Linked DNA regions of Caenorhabditis elegans. The protein of the gene in region 1 purifies or fractionates together with the protein of each later gene. This does not show direct contact. Each region holds a gene or a part of one and is shown on either strand. Other genes may lie near its edges. The genes, in order: cbs-1, F42A8.1, Y49G5A.1 and trx-4.

Region 1 (6,074 bases):
GTAAGTGCTCGGTTCGATATGTCATATTCATTCATGACATTCGCTATTTCAGCCTGCTCCCGTCGTACCGTCGTATCTGCTCCAATTGACGGAGCCCCAGGAACCGCAACATGTTCCGACACAACCACGCCAGAAAGATGTTCCGGATGTTGCCAGGCTAGAGCTCTTCAAGACGGCCTCACCACGGTGAGGAAAAATATGAAATTTCTTAAAATAATTTTGTAGACTTCATTACGGATGATGCAAATATTATTCATTTTGTATTTTAAAGGACTTCGCATCTGGATTCATCTCAAATGACCGTAGAACCTGTGTCTGCTGCTTCAACAACACCAACAGAAACTGTGGAGGCGGAAACACGTTCTTCGATGGAAAGAAGTAAATTAAAGTTTCATTATGCAATAAATATTTAATCCTTGAAAAATTGTTAACTGTTAAAATTTCATTGATATTATTCAATTGTTTTTTTTTGTTTTCTAGAGGAATATCTGGCATATCTTTAAGACAAGACAAGAAGCTTATTACATTACTAAAATAATGGAACAACTTTAAGGTTTGTGTACATTGAATGATTTTCTTCTCGTGCTCTTGGCAAATATCACAAGCACATCGATACCCAGCAGTATCATTTTAGTATCAATCATAATTTTTAATGAAACTAAATAGAGTTGAATAAAATTATTTTCAGAATATAAAAGCTGCAAAAATCCGCTTATGATATCTTATTTAACTTTCGTGACAAAAACATTCATTATGACAACCGCCCATTTGGTCTTCGATTATTATGAATGTAATCGTGAATTTTTTCAATCATAACAATTTGTCACAAAACCATTTTTATTTAAAACAGAGTAAAATCGCGAATTGAAAAAAAAAGTAAAGAAGCCAAATAATACGGACCAAGTAATACGTGTAGATTGTCAAGATGAAAATACGGAATGGTGGAGACAAATTCAAAGTTCTTCATAGCTTAGGCGTCTAGGAAATGACGCTCATTCATCCAATCATCGTCGAGGAATTTAGTGCTGAAATGTATATTTTATTTTGAAATAAAAAAATAATGAAACTAACATGTAATTTCTAATTCCATCGGGAAGAAGAACAACGACATTAGCCTCGGCTGGAAGATTCAACGATTTGCATTCTTCAAGTGCGTAGTGAACCGCGCAACCGGAAGATCCTCCGCACAAAATACCCTCAGATCTGATGAGCTCGCGAGCCATCAAGAACGACTCCTTGTCATGAGACTTTGCCCAATAGTCAATGGCACTAGTGTCCAAAGTTCCTGGCAAAAAATCGTATCCAATTCCTTCAACCTCATAGAAGTCGATGTCAGTCTCGGCAGGTCCAGCGAGAATAGATCCATGAGGGTCGACTCCGACCACCTTGGCTGTTGGAATACGCTCGTGGATTTTGCGAGAAATTCCAGTAACAGTTCCTCCTGTACCAGCAGTGAGAACCTGTAAAACAGTCATGAAAAAACGAACATGAAATGTGTACAATTTCATCTTTCATCATTTTTCAAATAGTTAGATAAATTAAAAGCTCTTACCACGAGATCAATATGCTTATCCCCCATATCGTAAATGATTTCCTCAGCGGTTTCTTCATAATGAGCTAACGGATTTCCTGGATTGCAGTATTGATCAAGAACTACCGCATCTTGAATTTCACTTTTAAGACGGAGAGCAACACCAATGTGTGAATGTGGGCTGTCAAATCCTGCCTCATTCGGAGTACGGATGATGGTTGATCCAAGAGAAGCCATTGCAATTGACTTTTCCTTTGACATTTTCTTTGGCATGGTGATAATGCATTTGTACCCACGGACAGCAGATGCAAGCGAAAGTCCGATTCCGGTGTTTCCGGAGGTTGGCTCGATGAGGGTTACTCCTGGAACCAACTTTCCAGGTTTTCCAGTCTTCTCAGCAATTTCAACCATTCTTTTGGCAATACGATCCTTTGTTGATCCCCCAGCGTTCATGTACTCACACTTGACGTCTGTAAAATGCCATTGCATAGATTTAGGAAAATATATGTTAAAGTTACTTACAAACGTTGCATTTTACTCCATGTGCCTTTGGAATGTGTTGAAGCTTGACGAGTGGAGTCTTGCCGATGGCATCGAGAACTGTATCAAGAACCAGTGGCCTTTCTGGGCTGACAAAGTTGTGGGTTAATTAACTATGTTGTTGTATAGGAGGTCATAATAAGTTTCACTTCTATGAACTCCACTCATTTTTTAAATGTGTTTTTTGGTAAACTTACTTGAACTTGTTGAATTCAACTTCGGAATGGCTCCATGATTTGGTTTCAGGATCTTGAGTCCACTCTCCAGCAAGTTTAGTTGGATCATACACAAGCACTTTTGGATCGTAAATGCTGTTTGGTTGTGGTCCATCTTTTCTGGTCACCACGTCTTTCTTGTTAGCGGTGATCCAATCATCATCGAGGAAATGACGGAGATAATTTCTAATTCCATCCATAAGAACAACGACAATTGTTGATCCAGCTGGTAGTTCCTTAGCGAGTTTGATTGCTTCAAGAACAGCGGCTCCAGATGATGGTCCAGCCATGATTCCTTCAGTTCCAATGAGATGTCGAGTGAAAGAATAAGCTTCATCTTCTTCGACCTCTCGTTTTTCAACATTGTACTCCTCAAAATTGGCTAGTTGAAATTGTACTTACACGTATGCATATTATGATTACTTGTCATCGTCTTCTATTACACTCACCTGGAGAAGATCATTTTTCAAGTCCAATCCCATTTCTGGAATAGTATCCTTTTTGCATGTGACTCCAACAACGCGAACACCATGTTCACCGATTCCCTTGTAATATGCTGCAATTCCAGCAGCGGCAGCTCCGGTATTCAATGGAATAACAACTGCTCCAACTTTGCCAATCGACTTGTTATTAACAGCTTTCTCAATTTCGAGGGCGGTTTTTTGAAGATTTGCAACAAATGCGGCATTGGTAGTGAACTTATTCAAGCTGAAGACACCTTTTTGTTGAGCAGCCTCATCAGTTTGAACACGAGCCTCTGCAAATGTTCCAAATGGAAGTTCAACAGTTTTGACTCCCAGGGTATGCAAGACAGTATCCACAAGATCGAATTCTCCCTTTGGTGCGTAGATGGTCAATCTGAAAATAAACATGATGCATGACGTGTTGCTTTTTGATCTCGCCCATCTTTCACTTACTTGATGCCCTTCACAGCAGCAACTGTTGCGTATGAGATGGCTGCAGACCCACCGGCGGTCACAAAAACTTCATCTCCTCTCACAACTCCAATCTCTTCAGCAAACTGGAAAAGTACAAATTAGGTTTATCTGCTTCCCATTTCCTACCTGGAAAGCTTTGTCAGCGGTACGGTCTTCCAAAGATCCCGCAATATTGAGATACTCTAGCTTCACATCTGAAATGAAAAAAGTTTCCCTTGACCACAATCTCATTAACAAACAGACTCAAGAGGTTGAATAAATAAAAAACCTATCGGAAAGGCTCAGAAAACTTTAGAGTTTAGTGTGCCGTTAATGAGCTTTTTGTCACCAAAACTCACAAATATCACTCTGAAGTTGATGTTCAACCTTCAGTTTTTTGAGTGGGACAAGTGGAGTTGGACGTTGAGCGGCTTCTAAGATTGTGTTATAGGTGATTCCTTTCCTGCAAAAGTGAATTTGCTAGACTGTTGAAATGTCTTATCTTATCTTATCTATAGAAAATTTTGATTTCAAGCAGATTAGACGAATTTTTTATCTACACGTGCTTCTTTTTTTCTTACAATTTTCTTTTCGAGAGAAGAAAAAATACCTTAAATTTCAAACTTTATGGTATTGAATTCATTCTGCCTCATTTATTTACAGTTTTCAAATAAGATTGCATCAGCACTATTCGTTTTGAAGCCAGAAAAACTGTGTTTTAACTATGTGTTATTTTTGTTTTATAACCTGATTCAAAAAATTTTTTTTAGTAGAGTGCGTGTTTTTTGAAAAAAAACTTACTTAGTTGATCCATGTGTAGCGGAAACTTCGTTTTGGATCATTTTCACACCTGATTAATAGCTACCTGAAATCAATATTAAGTTGAAAACGACATTTATCGATTGAAAAAAAATTGAAACAAAATGTTACAAAGGGTATGAAGTTGACTTTTAACTATTCTTATTGCCACACAATGCCGTGGATAATGAAAACTATAGACTGATAGGCATCTAGATGAGGGTCAGAGACACGAGAAAAAAGATGGGAGGAGTCGGGTCTAAATTGATTCTTCTAGCAAATACTGGGCACTTTGTCGTGGTTTATCTTTTTGGGAGATGATCGATTGTGAAGGTCAAAGAATCAAAAACCTCTTTTATACGATGCTTTATTTTTTCAAAATAGATTTCGTTGAAATGGAATTTTGAAGACAAGTGGGAGAGTGACAAAATGAAATATCAATATCACAAAAATTGATAAAAAATTTTACGACAATATTATCTATATTATCTTGCCAGAACTAACTGCGAGGGACGAGGTGAATAATAAAGTGTACTTAGTATCTTTTATTATTGGTATCATTAAATACATTTCGCTTCGGGCAAAGTATATTAGATCTCTGGTGTAGGCAACAGATGAGGTGACCTAAACATAGGTTAGGAAAAATAACATGACATTTCAGAAAAATAACAGCAAAGAATTTGACACTTTCTGTGTGTTTTTTCTGTGCGTGTCTTTGAAAATACAACTAAAAACTAATTGGGTTTTTTCTCATATTGTTTCATTGATGTAGAAGAATATTCCAATGGATGGAAGAATATTGGAAAAAATGAAGGTGATCAAAATCTATAAATCATAATGATTTTTAAAGCACATGTTCTATACGTTTTTTGTCACTTGTGTGGGTTTGTGAGAATAATTAATAGAAAACACTTTTCGACTATTTTCTGTCACACAATTTTAGAAACAATCACTGCTATGAATGTTGATAGTTTTATTGAAACTATAATTGTAGATACAATAATTGTTGGCATAAGGTGATAGAAACAACACGATTCATGAAGAAAAAAAATGAAGAGATCACGATGATTCAAGATCTGACAAGGGTTATGCGTGTATCATTTCCTAAACAACCCAGACAAAAATGAAATGATGAGAAAAAAAAAGAGCCAGGGAGAGATGAACGAAAAAGAATGGGAGTGCAGACAGAGAGCAGAGTGTACAATAAAAAGGCAAGGACAGGTGTTGGAAAGAAGAGTAACCTCTAGACAGGTATATTACTACTGCAACAACGAGCAATTAGATTATAGTGCTGTGGCAAGATTTATTGCAGTTATTTGTATGTAGTGTGGTGTCTGGATGGGAATTTGGGAAAACACAGGTCAAACAACAAAAGAAGGGGATTGCAAAAAAGAAACAAACCGGAACAGAAAATGATCAAAAAATTTCATTTGATCTGTAAGATTTTATAGTTTTCTCGGGAACAAATAAAATATTTATTTCCTTGAGATTCACCGTTTTTCCGAAAGTTTTTAGTTTGAAAGATGAATTTTATATGGCTTCAATATGCAAAGTGTACTACCATGCATTTGGGCCAGATTCCAAAAATTTTCACGAGAAGATATTTTACGAATAGGAATTGTTTTTTTTTTAACATCCATAACTTTCTCCCAAAAAATGCAACAACACTTTCAAAAGAGCACACTCAGTTTTATTACCATAAATTAATTTTTCTCAGAAGGGATTATTCTTGAAAACAGAGGAATGTGCTACATCACATAATGTACATCTTCGCATTGTTGGTTCGACAAAAGTTTTTCAACGATCAGAAGTTCCAGTTTGTTACATAAAAATATACACGAAATATTTCAAATTGATGGTCATTCCTCAGCATCTGCCAGCTTTTCCGTCAAGTGATCCGGTGCATCTAAACCTCATTACTTTTGGTGTTTTTGAGTCGATTTGCGACGCGCGTCTGTTCTCGAACCGTGGCGCGTGTACCTCGAGGCGACACTTGGGAGGAGTTTTGTTCTCGGTGTGCGCGATTTGCTGCGGCAACAATCCGCTGGGCCTCGGCTTCCCGGACCGTCGTCG
Region 2 (7,895 bases), on another chromosome or scaffold:
GTGGAATGGATATGACAGTGACTGAAGATTTGAATCAAATTATTCGAATGATTGAGACTGGGCCCAAGATTGTCTGCGAGTACATTCCTCGCCCATTGTTGTTCCCAAGGCCTGATAACGGGAATAAGGTGAAATTCGATCTTCGATACATCGTTTTCCTTAATGGAATTGCACCAGTTACTGCATACGTCTACAATAGATTCTGGATTCGATTCGCTATTAAGTTAGTTATCACCGTTAGAATTCAAAGTTAATGTTTACATTTTTCAGCGAATTCAGTTTATCTAACTTCGAGGATGTGGAGACTCATTTCACTGTATTCAATTATTTGGACAAAGAGAAAATTCTTCAAATGAAATGCGAAAACTTTATTGAAACTATTGAAAAAGCTTATCCGAGGATTCAATGGAGTGAAGTACAGAAAGATATCAATTTAACCATTCGCAAGGCAATCGAAGCAGCTGCAAAGTAAGTTTCGTTTTGTTTAGAAATATCTTAATGTTTGCATTTTCAGAGAAGAAGCTCCACGAGGAGTTGCTCCAAATGTCCAATCCCGTGCAATGTACGGTGTTGATATTATGCTTCAACACGGAGACAATGACGTCATCAAATCCACTCTCCTCGAGATTAATTTCATGCCGGACACCACTCGAGCATGCCAGTATTATCCAGATTTTGCTGACACTGTTTTTGAGACGCTTTTCCTGGATGAAATCGATCCAACCAAAGTCACACCAATCTAATTTCGTGTTCTTTTTTGTTTTTTCTTCCATATTACGATTGTTATATTATTTTTTGTTAACTTATTCTATTTTCGGCACTGAAACTTCACCGTGTTCACGTTTTCATCGGTGTTTTCTCGTATTCCAGTGGAAATTTTATGATCCTCTTTTCTTTATATAAAATTTGCATTCCTTTATGAATATAGTTATTCTTTATTTATTATCAAACTTCAGAAAAGAAATAGAAGAAGCACAATTATTAGGTTATTTCTCACGACATTTCAACAAAATTACACGTATTCTCGGGGGTACAATAACAAGAGAAAGCTCGCTGTGGTCACCTAGTCAAAACAACGTGATTATTTGCCACGTGGCAAATCGTACTTAAGTCCAGACGTATTCCTTTCCAACTGTGCCACATCGAAGATCACCAACTCGGCACCGTCAGCAGTCTTTCGGCAAGCAAGTCCAACTGATGAATCCTTTTGTTTTGGAAGATTCCAAATTGTGTACTTTCCTGGCTCAAGGAAAATTCGATCGAATCCCTTGTATTTATAGATGCATCCAACTGTGGTGACCTTTGTCTTGTTATCTCCGTCAGTTTCGCAGGTCTTCTCGATCTTCCAGTCTGGGTTCTGCTCATACCATCTACATCCGATCACCTTGTTAATGTCACGACCATTTTCAACAATCGAGCATCCGACGGCACGGTGGCTTCGTTTTCCTGGACGGATCTGGAAATTATAAGTTGAATATTTGGATGTACATATTATATTTAATTTCCAAGAGTCAGTAGGGATTTAGTTTAAATAAACTTATTATAGTTCAAAATGACAAAACATTTCAGATTTTTCAAAATTTTCAGTCACAGTTTTGGTAAATTACCAAATTTATCAAAAATTGTCAACTGACAATATGCAGATTAGTCCTTTTTCTACAGTTTTGATGTTATTTACTTTTTTGAAATATTTGAAATTAACCGAGATATGAGCTGCCAAAGTAGAGATTTTCCTAACGTCTGGATTCATTTCGGGACACCTAATTCTTAGTTCCTTAATGTATCATTTTCATATTTGAAAACTTCAATTTCAGAACTGTTCCATTGATCTCCCGTTCTATTTTTTCTCATTCTCATCACCTTCTTTTGCATGTTTCCCAATTACCTCGTTCTCCTCTTTCTCTTTTTCACATTGAACGTTCACTGTTGTATGTGTTTTGTACCCTAACAGTCTAAACCTATTGTCCAGAAAAAAAGCATCCAATAACTGATTCCTGTCCCCACTGGTACAGTCATTGACCGGAAACATACCTCGCACTGATAAGTGGTTCCATCTCTTTTGTACCGTTGTCCATCATACAAGTCTTGTCCACCAGCAACACATCCGATGCACTGCTTCGTACACTTTCCACCTTGCAACTTGCAATAGAAGAGGTAGTCTCCGTCCTGAAAACGAGAATATACAAGTTAATAAGAAGATGATGTTATCTATTTCATCAATCTGTTTTTTTTCTGTTTTTTTTCAAAACTTATTTTTAAGGTATGTACTTCCTATTAGGATTTGTTGTTATCATTTTCATCTTCAGAACTTTTTTTTCGTGAAAAGTTTGATGTTCAAAAATCGCAGGATTTTGCAGGGGCACGCCCTTGGACAAGTTGATTTAATGTTGATTTGAACATGTTTAGAAGGTTCAAATTGGGTTTGGAAGACTTCCGGGAGAAATGATTGATAATGGATGAAATGAAATTCAAAAAAAAGAGAAAAGTTCTAGAAGTTTCGGCGCCTTCGTTTTTTTTCGTTTCAAATTACTAGGAAATAATTATTTTGACAGATGCATTGGGCTTGGTAGATCCCGATCCCAGTAGGCACAAAAATATCTACCTACATTTCAGAAGACCTACGCCGGCCTATGAAAAAATATAAATAGGTGGTAGGCGAGTCATGAAGGCTTGTCCACCCAAACTCATTGGTAAAACTCACTCTGTATTGTTGTCCAACAGTGTATCGAGTTCCCTCATGAATACATCCAACACTGCACATTTGAACGACTCCAGTAGTTTTTTGTTGGCATTTATAACTGAAAATATTTTTTCCATACTCTTCAGAATTCAAAGTCTCAACTTAAAAAAAAAAGTTGCTACCGCAAAAGTTCAAGTATCTCGTAGACACCAACCGATAAGATATAAAAGAGTGCATTTTCGTAGTGACCCGTTTTTTTTGTCACTTTATCACATAATCTCGCCATATCCGTCGCCCTTATCAATGAAAAAAAAAACTAAAAAAGTTGTTAAAATACAACTTGGGAGAAAATAGGATTACGGTGGATTTGAAGGTTGCAGGATATCAATTAATTTCCAAGTGCTATGAAAACATTGAAAGGACATAAAAACAGGATTTGAATTATCATTTTTGATCTTTCATCACCGAAAATGTACCCGAGAGTACTGTAATTTAGATTATGATACGTTCGATAGCACTAGTCCACATGTCTTATTTCAGAAAAACCTACGCCTACCTCGTACCTACTGCGAAACCGCCAATCTCTTGCATTCAAAGATTAGATTTCAAGCTTCAGTGTTTTAAATAGTGTGAAACCGTCAATTCCTTAACTTTACGCTCAAATAGGAAATAAGCATTCGTCAGAAACGAAGGCAGGCACGTGTAACTCTTGCCTACCTGCCAGATTCACCTAGTGTTGGAAATTCTTGAATTGACAATGCTGTCACATCAGTTTTAATGTCCCCTAGTTTTCCTATTAGTTTAAATTCAATTAGGTAATCTGGGTTTCAGTTCAATTTTGATCCTTAGATCCAATCTATCACTTTCAATCTTTCAAAACCCTATCAGTCAATCTCTATCACTATCTATTTAAACTCATTCTTTAGTCTTTCACCACTCTTTGCCTTTTCGTTTTTCTGCTAAACCGTCTGACCGGTGTCACTTCATATTGTCTCCCGTGTGTTCAAATTTCGGGTGGCCTTCAAATCATATGTCACCCTATCATTTACACTTTTCTTGGCGGCGCCATGTCGGTAAAAACAACGGATAAGCGGAGATAAGCCATTGAGCGAAATTTAGGGGCAGCGAACTCACGTGTATCCGTTGAAATCGTCTGTCTGACCAAGTGGGACACGTCGTTGCTTATCATGGGCAATGCATCCTTCAATTGTCGTTTTGACAACACGACCATCGTCACGGCAACGGTAGTAGTAAGTGTTCTGGAAGAGGTATTTTTGTGGTTGAATGGGGTAGAGGGGGTTGTGGTCAAAGTTGAACTTGGAATACTACTATGATTGAAGACAAATGGGTCTGTTCTATTTTATTAAATATCAATTTACTAGATCTTGCTCAAACTGTTTAAAATTAAATTGAAAATTAGCTACCAAAATTTCAAAATTTCTCTACACAATTTTCGGTTTCTAAACCAATTCGATTATGTCTTCTTTTCATTTAATGATCAAAGGATCAGAAACATTATCAGGCCGGTTATCTGTCCTATGCCTATAGCACCTATGGGATGTGGGATCTCTAGAAAACAAGCTTATACTTACTTTAGGTATCACTGTGGGCAAGCACATCGGCGATCAGAGTACCTGTTTGTGTGCCTACCTTAAGCCTACTTGTTTTTATTGGAAACTATTGGTTTGTGCTTCCTAAGTAGATTAACAATATTTTAATTTTGTGAGCACGAAAGCATGAGTCTTGCATCGAACACGCTCTCAATTTAAATTTAATAAATCACACTTTCAAAGTTCATCTCTAATTATTGTGCCACATTTTCAGCGATTTTTCTCGGCATTGTCAAACTATGCCTTCCACTTTTTGAATTTGTAGGTCAAAAAGTTTTCGTTTGGAATCAAATTAGTGAAGTTTCGAAAGTAAAATTGGGTCAGTTCAAAAACTATGTTATAGCTTTCGTTGAAACTTTGATCAACGTTTTTTTTTAGTGGCAACTAAAAAGTTAATAGAAAAATTGCAGAACCCCCTACTGTGTGTGTCCGCCCACCGGATGTGATACATGTTGCAACTTTCTTCACATGTTTTAATATCTTTCACTTTCCTCTCATTCTTACCTTGGCATCGGTCCAAGTCTCTCCTTTTTGATAGGTACGTCCATCTGTGCCGACACATGCGCTGTAGCCGAATTCGATATAACCGTCGCTTCCTGATAAAGAGTAATCGTAAAAAAGGAGATTTGATACGTTTTCTACAAAATCAGATGTGGGTACTCAATGATATGGGGAAAAAGAAGATCAAATCGACAAAAGATGTTGAATGAGAGACATTAGAAATGGTTTTTTTTTTGAATGGACACGATTTTGAGAATACCTACTTTTAAAATATTTTAACAATTTGAAAGTTAGTTATTCTTAACACTGTCGTGAACTCGAAGACTCCAAAAGTTACGGAAACAGTACTAGGTATTCTGAGTAGTAGGTATTAAGAATTTGAACTAGCTAATAAAAAGTTGAATTTAATTCCAACTGAAAATTTATAGTATTCTCAGAAGCCTAGTTGCCCAGATCAGTATAATTTCCATGCTCGAAACTAACCAAGTTGGCAAATGAACTCATATCTATCTTGTTGGAAAGTATGTCCAAGTGGAATCTTTTCCTCTGTGCTTGACAGACATCCAAGTGGCTCCAACTGTCCACGTCTACACTCATAAAAGTATTTTCCACGTGTCACTTGGTCTCCTTCCTGCCACCATTGAGCTGGCCGTCCGTTCCCGCTTGTCCAACATCTGCAAAAGGAGTTTTTTTTTTGAAAACCGGTTCTTATCAATTGGTTTCAGTTTCGTTGAGAACCATAGATACTAGTAGCTAGTTGTCTTGTTCAATGAGATGAACTTGACAAGATGATAAGGAATACAAGGGGAACGGTGAGACATTTAGGTTGTGGATTTTGAAATTTTTGATTTTTTGTTGTTATGTATAGTATGTATACAATGTATACGTTAGAAAAAATGATTCCTCATATCTAATCTCAGAAGTTTGGCTCTGAAATTGAACCACCATGATACTAGAGGTTTAATGTTTTATACGTGCCTCCAGAAAAATTTTTATAATTAATGCCAAATAAAAAATAGGCATAGGCAGGCACGTAGGCAAAAAAAGGCATATTTAGAAGCCATGGAAGCCATATGACTTTCAAAAACAAATTTTTTGAGAATAAAAAAATTTGCTACGAAAATCGTAAGGTTTGAGACTAATAAGGATTAATTTTTCGAAAATTTTGGATACACTGAACCTTTAAAAAATAAAACAAACCTAGCTCTAGCTGCAGCTCCTTTTTCGACATTTGAATAGGCCGAAACCTCGAAAATTGAAAGAATCGAGAGGATAAGTAGAACCAAGTTGTTCTGCATTTTCATCAAAATTTCTTTTGTCTCTAATTCCCCCGCTTTCGGTGATTTTTATAGTAGCTCCTAGGCTCCTCCCACTTCCTCCCCCACATCTTCTTTCTCTTTTTCACTTTTTTCATCTTTTCTCTCCCCTTTTCCGTCCGAAAATGGACAATTGTTCTTCAAGTGGGCGGAGCTCTAGGAACACCTTTTCGCTCTTGAATGTTTGTTTTAAGATGAAGAAAAAGCGGAAAAGAATTGGGATATACATCATAGTTACGCCGGTTTTGTTATTCAAATATCTCATAAATTACAAGTTTTCTGGAGGAAAGAACACCATAAATGACCATTTCAGTGAAAGTGCGTGTAGGAGGGGAAACTACCGGAAATTGAGCTAAAAATATACAGTGTATTGGTCTATGAGTTTTCAAGCTGTCAGATGGTGCAAAATAGATTTATAGATTTTCCAAATAGTTCAAAACAATTCGGTAAACATTCTAAGCTGAGGGAGCCCAAAAATTATGGATGATGCCTTTCAAAGTTATCAATTCGTACTAGAGCTACTCACTTATTCAAAACATCACTCTATAAAACTGGATGGGCAAATGAAAACTTATAGTTAGGACCTGCCTGCCACCTCTGAATTACGGTATGATACAGCTTTTCTACTGTGAAGAATTAAATTTAAGCGCACTTCAAATTGAACGTACTTTTGAGAAAACGGAAATTTCCGAGATTCCATCTATTCCAAAAAGAAATTAGTTGCCAAAATTGAGCAACTGGGAGTAACGGCATATCATTTTCTATCACAATATCACATTCGACTCGTTTGAGCTCTGGAAAATATGATAATCTAACTTTTTGGATATGACGTCACAATCAGTCCTGTAAGAAATTTCACGTTTTCCAGTGGAAGGATCACTCCGAACACGCGCCTCGTATCTCAATCTGAATGTGGCTTACTGCTGTAGTATGGGATTTCCAAAATAATCCATCTTTGAAAATGTGTGTGTTTTTTTAATTTGTATATATTCTCTGCCTTCTTCATCAAAAACTCACCTCGATTTTCACATATGAGTTCTCAATTATTCATCCAAAAATTCCTAGACACTTATTTCATCCAAACGCATATTTGAAACCGTTTCTCCTCCGGTCGAAATGCTAATTGCCGCCCACCTACATATACCGTGACAACATTTTGTTGTGTAGGTGTCAGTAGTTCACTGACGAGATGAAATTCAATTCAGAAAAAAACGTTCTCTGAGACACACTGACGTCTTCTTATTTGCAGGAAATGATTGCTGACACTTTAAAAAATAAATAGGACAACATTAGAAAATAAACAATCAGGTTGATTTATTTACAATAAATAAAACAGTGTAATCAACTTGTCATTTATCAATGGACAGGAGAGTCTGATGAAAAGGTTTCCGGAGAGATCGGAAGTGAGATGGGGAAATTGGAAAAAGGAAAGAGTTGAAATCTCATTGACTACTCGACTTCATTTTTGTTCATGAGAAATCCGTTAAAATTATAGAGAAAGAAGTGAGACAATATGTTGACGTACAAAAATGGTTATATTCATTTGCAATATCTTCTAAAACTCGCAAAATTGCGTATCTTCAAACTGACGTATCTCGAAAACTATAGTTCTAGAAAACAAATGTTCAACAAACAAAACTATTAGAAATATTTTTTCTTCCCTTTGCATCAATTTTCATTACAAAGTAGCAAGGATTTATTGAGTTACACTGATTCAAAGATAGTTTCCTAAAATCTACCAAAATTTTTGAGAACTGTTCTGTTGTACCAGTCTTAACTCAACATCCA
Region 3 (3,739 bases), on another chromosome or scaffold:
GAGTCACTTTATTTGGTAAACGGCCAGAGTCACTATATTTGGTGAACGGTCAGAGTCACTAATTTTGATGAACGGCCAGAGTCACTATATTTGGTGAACGGCCAGAGTCACTATACTTGGTGAACGGCCAGAGTAACTATATTTAGTGAACGGCCAGAGTCACTAATTTTGGTGAACGGCCAGAGTCACTATATTTGGTGAACGGCCAGAGTCACTATTTTTGCCAGAGTAACTATATTTAGTGAACGGCCAGAGTCACTAATTTTGGTGAACGGCCAGAGTCACTAATTTTGGTGAACGGCCAGAGTCTTAATTTTTAAAGTAATGCAAACGTAGTAAATCTCCCAATAAAAAAATGCGGTCATATTGCATGAAATTTAGTTTTTTTGATCAAACTGAAAGCTTCTGGCACCTGGAAATTTTTGTAATTAAATTCTGAAAGCGCTTAAAATTTGTCCCTTCTAGGACTTTTTACATAAAAAGCAGGATGGTTCTAGAATTTTCTAGAAACTCTGGAAAAGTTTTAGAATTTTCTTGAAATTCCGCAAAACTCCAGGAAAAGTGTTGACTGTACAAAAATCTTACATTAGCAGTTTAAAATTTATTAAAACAATTTACCGTACGCCAGTCGGAGCACGTGCAAACGGCTGGTTTTTTATAATATGCTTCTACATTAAATTTTTCATTTAAAACAGTGGGATATCATATACAAATCGATAGCTTTGTATATTTGCTGGAGTCCGAAAATCTAAAGATTTCAGACGAATTGTTTGGAAAAGGTTATATTAGTTATATTAATTCATTAATAAAAAAGTTTATATAGATAAACATGCACGGCCGAAAATAATTAATTGCAGCAAGTGGCAAAATATGTTCCCTCCACACAGGTTGCTCCAGCTGGACAGAACTTTGATTTGCAACTCTTCCCAACAATCGTTGTAGGGATTCCACCCTCGACAATTTTTGCAACTTTCTTTCCTTTTGGACATTTTGGCTCATAATCAGCTTCAATCAACTTTTCAATCTTCTTGTCACAGCAAATATTAATATGATTAGAGTACCTACAGATACCTTTTGGCCCACATTCTTCCTGGAATTTTTACAGATTTTTTCAAAAACATGGAGCAACTTACATCGGTTTGGCAGTTTTTATCGTTTATTGGCTTACTTCCAGCGGCACATCCCGATTGATCATCTAAATACTTTGGTTTAAAGTAAAAAATTCAAATGAAAAAACATACATCCAGTACATGTAAATCGACATTCACTCTCAGTTTTGAAATTATTCTTGTTTCCTCCACATCCACTGTACTCAAAAGCCAATGGGATATTGGATTTTTGGTCAAAGTGGTACTGTAAATTATTAAGACTTTATACTTTATGAATTTTATGAAATAAAAATATTGAGAAATATGTTTAGTTTCTGAAAATAATTTTGCTTTTGTTGAAAGTTTTGAAAAGTTGAAATTTTGAAAAGACTTACAGTCTCAGTGTTATTTCGGCACGTTGACTTTTGAGTCAGTTTTTGAGCAAATTCTCGGAATTTTCAATTAAACGTATAGCTATTTTCAGAAAGTACCAATGTTTTTCTATATTTTTTTCCAATTTCCAAAAATTCCAAAGTTTCCAAAAAAAAGCGACATGAAAGCTTTGAAAAATCAAAACTCACTCTTATCTCCTTCTTTCCATTTTTACATGGTGTTTTTCCCATGTCCAATGGAAGTTTGCACTCCGGTTGAAGTGTCGAGACTAACTCACTGACACACAGAATAGTAGCCAAAAAGGTAAGAAGAAGATTCATTTTGCAAAATTGACAGAATAATTGAAATGATCACCGTTTTATACTACTGGAGAAATGGATAAACACGTTGAGAGATAAAGAAATCGAATGACTATACTCAACACTTCCTGGTTTAGATAAGAAGAAGGTCAAACTGGATAATGTTTGGTTGAAGTTCTAGTATAGATTCGTTTAGAAAAATCCGTAAATCTCTTTCAATTGTCGAATGCTAGCTGACAAAACACCCAGAAATCTTCCAATCTGAAATTCTACCTAAAAGTCCAATAAAACAATTATTAATATGGTTGTGTGGCCAAACCATCTAAAAAACTGTTCAGCAAATTTTATAAACGCTCTTGGTATCACCGTGAATGATTCTTTGAATCACTTCCTGGTCACAGAGATTACCAATACGGAGATCATAAATGCCATTTGAAAAAAAGAAATTTTAAAATAGGCTACTACAAAAAATTGACAAGTATTGTGATCAGGATAAAATTCTATCTGATTATTTTTCCAGTGCAAATTGCTTCAAATCAACGATGCTCGAGCTCGACAAATTTCGAAATTTGCAGCACACCAAAAATTTGACAAAACAATTTTGCCCAAAACTATTGAATTTGTCCCCTAAAATTTAGTAAAATTCCACAAAATGGAGTTAATTTGATGTTTAAGCTGACACAGCTCACGAAACTTATTCAGAAATCAGATGTGTGATATCTTTGGTGCTCCAAAATACATCTAAAATATAACATTTTTCCGGAGTCTGTTGAAAACGGCAAATTTGCCGAGTTTGCCGAGCGCGGCAAATTTTGAGATTTGCCGCACATCCCTGCTCCAAATGTGGAAGCCTTTAAAAGTGATCATATTTTTTTCAGAAAGAAAAGTTTCTTGAAAACTCCTATAGTTGTTCACATGTTTTACAAAACATCTGAAAGTCAAGATTATATATGAAAAACTACTCTAACGCAATTTTTCTTTCTGCCACCTATTCACTTTTTCCAAAAAGTTGGGAAATCTCTTGGACATAATTTTCTAATTTCTTAACCCAACTCAAAAGCCTTATTTGAGAATAGACCTCGAGTAACCTAAATTCTCCGGTCCACGTGCTTGTTTATTCCGTTCATGCGAAGTTTGTTCCTAAAATTTTTTTAATATATCCTCTGTAATCCCCCAGCTAAACTCACAAATTTCCGATTCCTTATTTGCTTTTCATGTCACTTCGACGTCTACTTTTTTCGTTGCAGTTGCTTTTCTCTGAAATTCTCCGCAAAAAATAACAAAATTTTGTTACTTGTTACTTTGTTCGCCGTTGATTGAATATGTGCTATGGCAACTCTTTCTGAGTTGTTGGGTTCAAGTTTTGGTAATTGTATGTTTTCAAAAAAAAACTGAAAAGTAAGGTTTTGATTTAGAACGTCAGAATAGAAAACCAAAACCCAAAAAATAAAATAGAAAACAAAAAAAAACGAATCATTATAGTCAAGTCTCTATTGCGAAAAGCAGCTACTATTAGCCTATGGGGTCAATTTGATTATCTGCCTTTGCCTAGTCGGTGTTTTCCCAGCGCAGAATCCACTTTGCTCTGCCTGTGCTCCAAAAGAGTGCTCATTTTCAAAAGACACACATACACTCTTCTCATTTTCTCGTTTTTTTGCTTCTTGTTTCTCATCGTCCGGTTCTTTTTTTTTCCACTTATCATCTACACTTCCTTGATACCATGGCTTATTTAGTGAAGATGGCTTATTTAGTGAAGAATTCATGACATACTGAACGAAAATGTTGCAATGTTCCTCTCTGGGAATAATATTAAATTTAAAGGTGTTGATTTGTGAATTTTTTCGGAAACACTCTTTTTTGAAATAATAAATATTTTAATCAAGGGTGTCTGTTTTTCGATTTTTCACAAAATCCGATATTTCGAAAATAAATTATATTTTTTGCTTACAATGCTGGATT
Region 4 (3,565 bases), on another chromosome or scaffold:
ATTTGCGGCAATTTGCCGATTTGCCAGAAATTTCAATTCCGGCAATTTACCGATTTGCCGGAAAAAATCGTTTGCTGCCCACCATCCTATTAAGGGAACACTAAATTTTGAAAAATGCGTATTGCGCGACATATTTGACGCGCAAAATATCTCGCAGCGAAAACTACAGTAATTCTTTGAATGGCTACTGTAGATCTATTTACGGACTTGATTCTCGAAATGAATTAAAATTATTTATTTATCGAATTGACAAAAAAAACGAAAAATTGAATATCGCTGCCACAATTCAAAAATAAATTCATTTCCGTAAATCGACACAAGTGCTACAGTAGTCATTTAAAGAATTACTGTAGTTTTCGCTTCGAAATATTTTGCTCGTCAAAAGCATATGTTGAAAAGAAAGACGCATTCTCAGAGTTTTCCGTTTCCGTAATATGAAATAACCAACAAATACCTATTAAAAGAAAAAGAAAACTCGACAATTCCAAAAAATTAAAAAATACATTTCGCGCGGCGAGACCCAATATGTTTGCTGGATTTCTTTCATAACTTTACTTGCTTCTGTATGCGCCTTTGAGGTAACGGCAGTTCTCTTTTGAAAATTGGGATGAGCTTGGGCACAATTCAATATTTAACCGATTTTGTGAGAAAAAAAACAATTCTCGATATTTAAGAGATATATACGAAGAAAATTCCTTTTTGAAAAAAAAATGCGAAAAGCTCAAAGTCAGTCGACTGCAATGTCAACCGGATGTCGTGGGTCCGCCAGTCATACCTTTTCGGAGTTCAGGCCGAAAACATCAATGACGTAATAATACATGTTTTCAAAAAATAAATAATTCAAATAATACTGTTTATTCGTTCAGAACTCTTAATCTTCAGAGAAAATATAATGTAAGATGTTTAAAAGTGTGAAAATCATTGAAGAGCTGCCTTGACCATTTCCTCGAACTTTGTATTGTTCGCTCCACTGAACTGATCCTTCTTGATTCCGTCGACAATCAGAAGGAAGGTGGGCATCGAGTTGATCTCATATTCTTCACCGACACCGTCACACTCGTCCACATCAATTTTAAGGATCGATAGGCGATCCTTGTGCTCGGCGGCCAGCTCCTCCACACGTGGCTTGATCATTTGGCACGGACCGCACCTGGAATCGTGTATTTTGAGAATTTAATTTCATGAAAGTTTTAATTTGAAACTGTAAAAGGCATTTTTTAGAATTTACGTTTCTATCAAAAACTCAAGTTTCGAAATCCAAACTATCCTGATGAAAGGCTTCAAATAGTCGTGGCCTAGAAATTTCGATTAAGAAAATTCTCAGCCATGTGCATAAATCCAACCTACCATGAAGCCGTGAAAAATAGAATCACTGGCTGGGTTTTCTTCTCGGCAAAAATTGTCTTGAATTCGTCATCGTCCTTGATTGCGATAGACATTTCGGTTATCTGAAATAAAAAAAAAATAATTTGGAATTTTTTAATTTTAAATTCGTCTTTTGCTCAATACGCATTCGCAGAATTTTAGCGTTCGCGTAATAATTCCCGGAAACTCTATACTATTAGAGACTACAATTTAACAGTTAGTATTAAAAAATATTCGGTTTGGTTTCAGAATTTAGAAATATTTAAAATTCACCGCAAGAAAACATTAACGGTTAATGTAGAAGTTCAATTAATTGAAAAACATTGCAAAAATTTGAATAAAATTTACGTTAATCAACACATAATAATAAAAATAAAAATCACAATAACATTTATAGTATGTGTGTGTGTGGCCGAGAAGAAATGAAATAAAGAAACAATAAACCATTATAAAAAATTTTTAAAAACGGGTGACCAAGAGATACATCTTTAGGTCCTGCTGACTGGCCAAATGTGGGGGAGAGGAGTGGGGGAAGAGAAGAACGCCGTTTTGAGCAACAATGTGTGAAAAAAAAGAAAAAGCGAGAAAATGAAGCGGATGTGAAATACTTGGTCTCGACGCGACAAATTTTTTCAAGAGGATGTGCGCCTTTAAACATGATGCAGCGACTCGAAAAAAAGTGTAATTTTTGAAGAATTTATATTTACAATTTTTCTAGATTTTTTTCTCACAATCAATTTTACGACGCAATTTTCAATTACCAAATTATTTTTGAATTCCCCGAATTTTTTGATTTGAAACACAAAATTTCAGACCTTTTTTTCGGAAAAAATCGACTTTTAAGCCGAAAAAACGTCTGAAAATTCGAAAAATTGTGTTTCAAATCAAATATCCGAGAAAATATGAAGAAAACCCATTCAAATTTGTTTGCAAGGGGATTTAAAAATAATTCGAATTTTTGCCTTAAAATTGCAAAAATAAACATTAAAAATTTAGAAAAATTCTAAAAATTTTACAAGTGAATTTGATATTTTGGGGCTGTTTTCTAGCATTTCTGGCAAAATTTGAAACAAAAATTTGTCGCGTCGAGACTCCGTGGTACTGTAATTTTAGCACAAAAAATCGCAAAAATTGTATAATATTTGGAGCAATGATAAGTGAATCAATACAAACGAATCGGGGGTGTGGGTTGAATGAGAATTTCCAAAAAAAAAAACAAAGGATCACAGGACAATTTGATACTCTCTCTTTATATGCTTCGAGAATCTATATTGCACTGGGTGAATGGGGAAGAGAGAGAAGAGATGGGGGGCACAATTTACACGAATAATTGGATGAATGAGGAAAATGGCTAGAATCGAATCTTTTCAATGGCGAGAACTCGTGATTCCAGAGCACGGAATCTATCGAGAAGGGCATCGTATTCGGCACGGCTGACATAGTCTGATGGCGGAAGATTTGGCGATTTTTGACTATCTGGAGATGCCAATTTTCTGATTGCAGAGGTGGAGGAAGTGGAATCTGGAAGATGGACGATTTTTGTAATTTTTGGCAATTTGCCGGAATTGAAAATTTTCGGCAAATCGACTAATTCCCGGATTTGAGAATCTCCGGCATATAGATAAATTGCCGGAATTGAAAATTTCCGGCAATTTGCCAAAACAGAAAATTTTCGACTTCCGGCAAATCGGCAAAATTGCCGGAATTGACAACTTCCGGCAAATCGGCAAATTACCGGAGTTGAAAATTTCCGGCAACTCGACTAATTGCCGGAATTGTCAACTTCCGGTAAATCGGCAAATTGCCGGATTTGAGAATTTCCGGCAATTTGCCGAAACGGAAAATTTCCGGAAATTCGAAAAAATACTTGAAAAAAATTTTCATTTGGAATTAAAAAAAGATTTTTTACTGAATTATTTTCATTTTTATTGTATTTTTCTCATTTTTCGAGTTTTTTTTTGCATTGAATTTATGAATTATTTAGTTGTAAAATTAGATTTTAAGAAGTTTTAACTTTTTAAAAAATGTTAATATATTTTCTTTTTTTTTGCATTTTTTTTTTGGAGAAATATTTATTTTTTTTTAGGAATTTCTCTAGGAATTTTAAAAAGTACTTTTTAATATTTTTAAAAACAAAATTCCAAATTTTTTGCAATTTTTTTAATTATACCCTTTTTTAAATAATTTTCACAGGACTTAA

Evidence for each region.
Region 2: the proteins of cbs-1 (region 1) and F42A8.1 fractionate together in Caenorhabditis elegans (co-fractionation; one large-scale study listed by BioGRID). This does not show direct contact.
Region 3: the proteins of cbs-1 (region 1) and Y49G5A.1 fractionate together in Caenorhabditis elegans (co-fractionation; one large-scale study listed by BioGRID). This does not show direct contact.
Region 4: the proteins of cbs-1 (region 1) and trx-4 fractionate together in Caenorhabditis elegans (co-fractionation; one large-scale study listed by BioGRID). This does not show direct contact.

The regions. Positions count from the first base shown.
Region 1 is NC_003284.9:10,052,275-10,058,348, reverse strand, and holds cbs-1 (Cystathionine beta-synthase cbs-1), read right to left. Parts: upstream 4,069-6,074; 5' UTR 4,046-4,068; coding exon 4,005-4,045; intron 3,667-4,004; coding exon 3,563-3,666; intron 3,419-3,562; coding exon 3,351-3,418; intron 3,308-3,350; coding exon 3,204-3,307; intron 3,145-3,203; coding exon 2,736-3,144; intron 2,658-2,735; coding exon 2,269-2,657; intron 2,161-2,268; coding exon 2,054-2,160; intron 2,002-2,053; coding exon 1,553-2,001; intron 1,461-1,552; coding exon 1,072-1,460; intron 1,026-1,071; coding exon 971-1,025; 3' UTR 825-970; downstream 1-824. Other genes in the region: ZC373.2 (uncharacterized protein), read left to right, coding at 53-186, 272-382; gnrr-3 (G-protein coupled receptors family 1 profile domain-containing protein), read right to left, coding at 5,868-6,074. UniProt on the Caenorhabditis elegans protein: Hydro-lyase catalyzing the first step of the transsulfuration pathway, where the hydroxyl group of L-serine is displaced by L-homocysteine in a beta-replacement reaction to form L-cystathionine, the precursor of L-cysteine.
Region 2 is NC_003280.10:9,340,477-9,348,371, forward strand, and holds F42A8.1 (uncharacterized protein), read right to left. Parts: upstream 6,115-7,895; 5' UTR 6,090-6,114; coding exon 5,992-6,089; intron 5,466-5,991; coding exon 5,275-5,465; intron 4,887-5,274; coding exon 4,795-4,886; intron 3,940-4,794; coding exon 3,815-3,939; intron 2,799-3,814; coding exon 2,702-2,798; intron 2,167-2,701; coding exon 2,032-2,166; intron 1,457-2,031; coding exon 1,082-1,456; 3' UTR 921-1,081; downstream 1-920. Other genes in the region: ttll-12 (Tubulin--tyrosine ligase-like protein 12), read left to right, coding at 1-223, 271-468, 515-743.
Region 3 is NC_003283.11:5,285,560-5,289,298, forward strand, and holds Y49G5A.1 (BPTI/Kunitz inhibitor domain-containing protein), read right to left. Parts: upstream 1,815-3,739; 5' UTR 1,802-1,814; coding exon 1,670-1,801; intron 1,354-1,669; coding exon 1,242-1,353; intron 1,196-1,241; coding exon 1,134-1,195; intron 1,091-1,133; coding exon 848-1,090; 3' UTR 784-847; downstream 1-783.
Region 4 is NC_003279.8:3,317,137-3,320,701, forward strand, and holds trx-4 (Thioredoxin), read right to left. Parts: upstream 1,449-3,565; 5' UTR 1,440-1,448; coding exon 1,348-1,439; intron 1,151-1,347; coding exon 919-1,150; 3' UTR 842-918; downstream 1-841. Other genes in the region: cdap-2 (SH3 domain-containing protein), read right to left, coding at 2,717-2,886.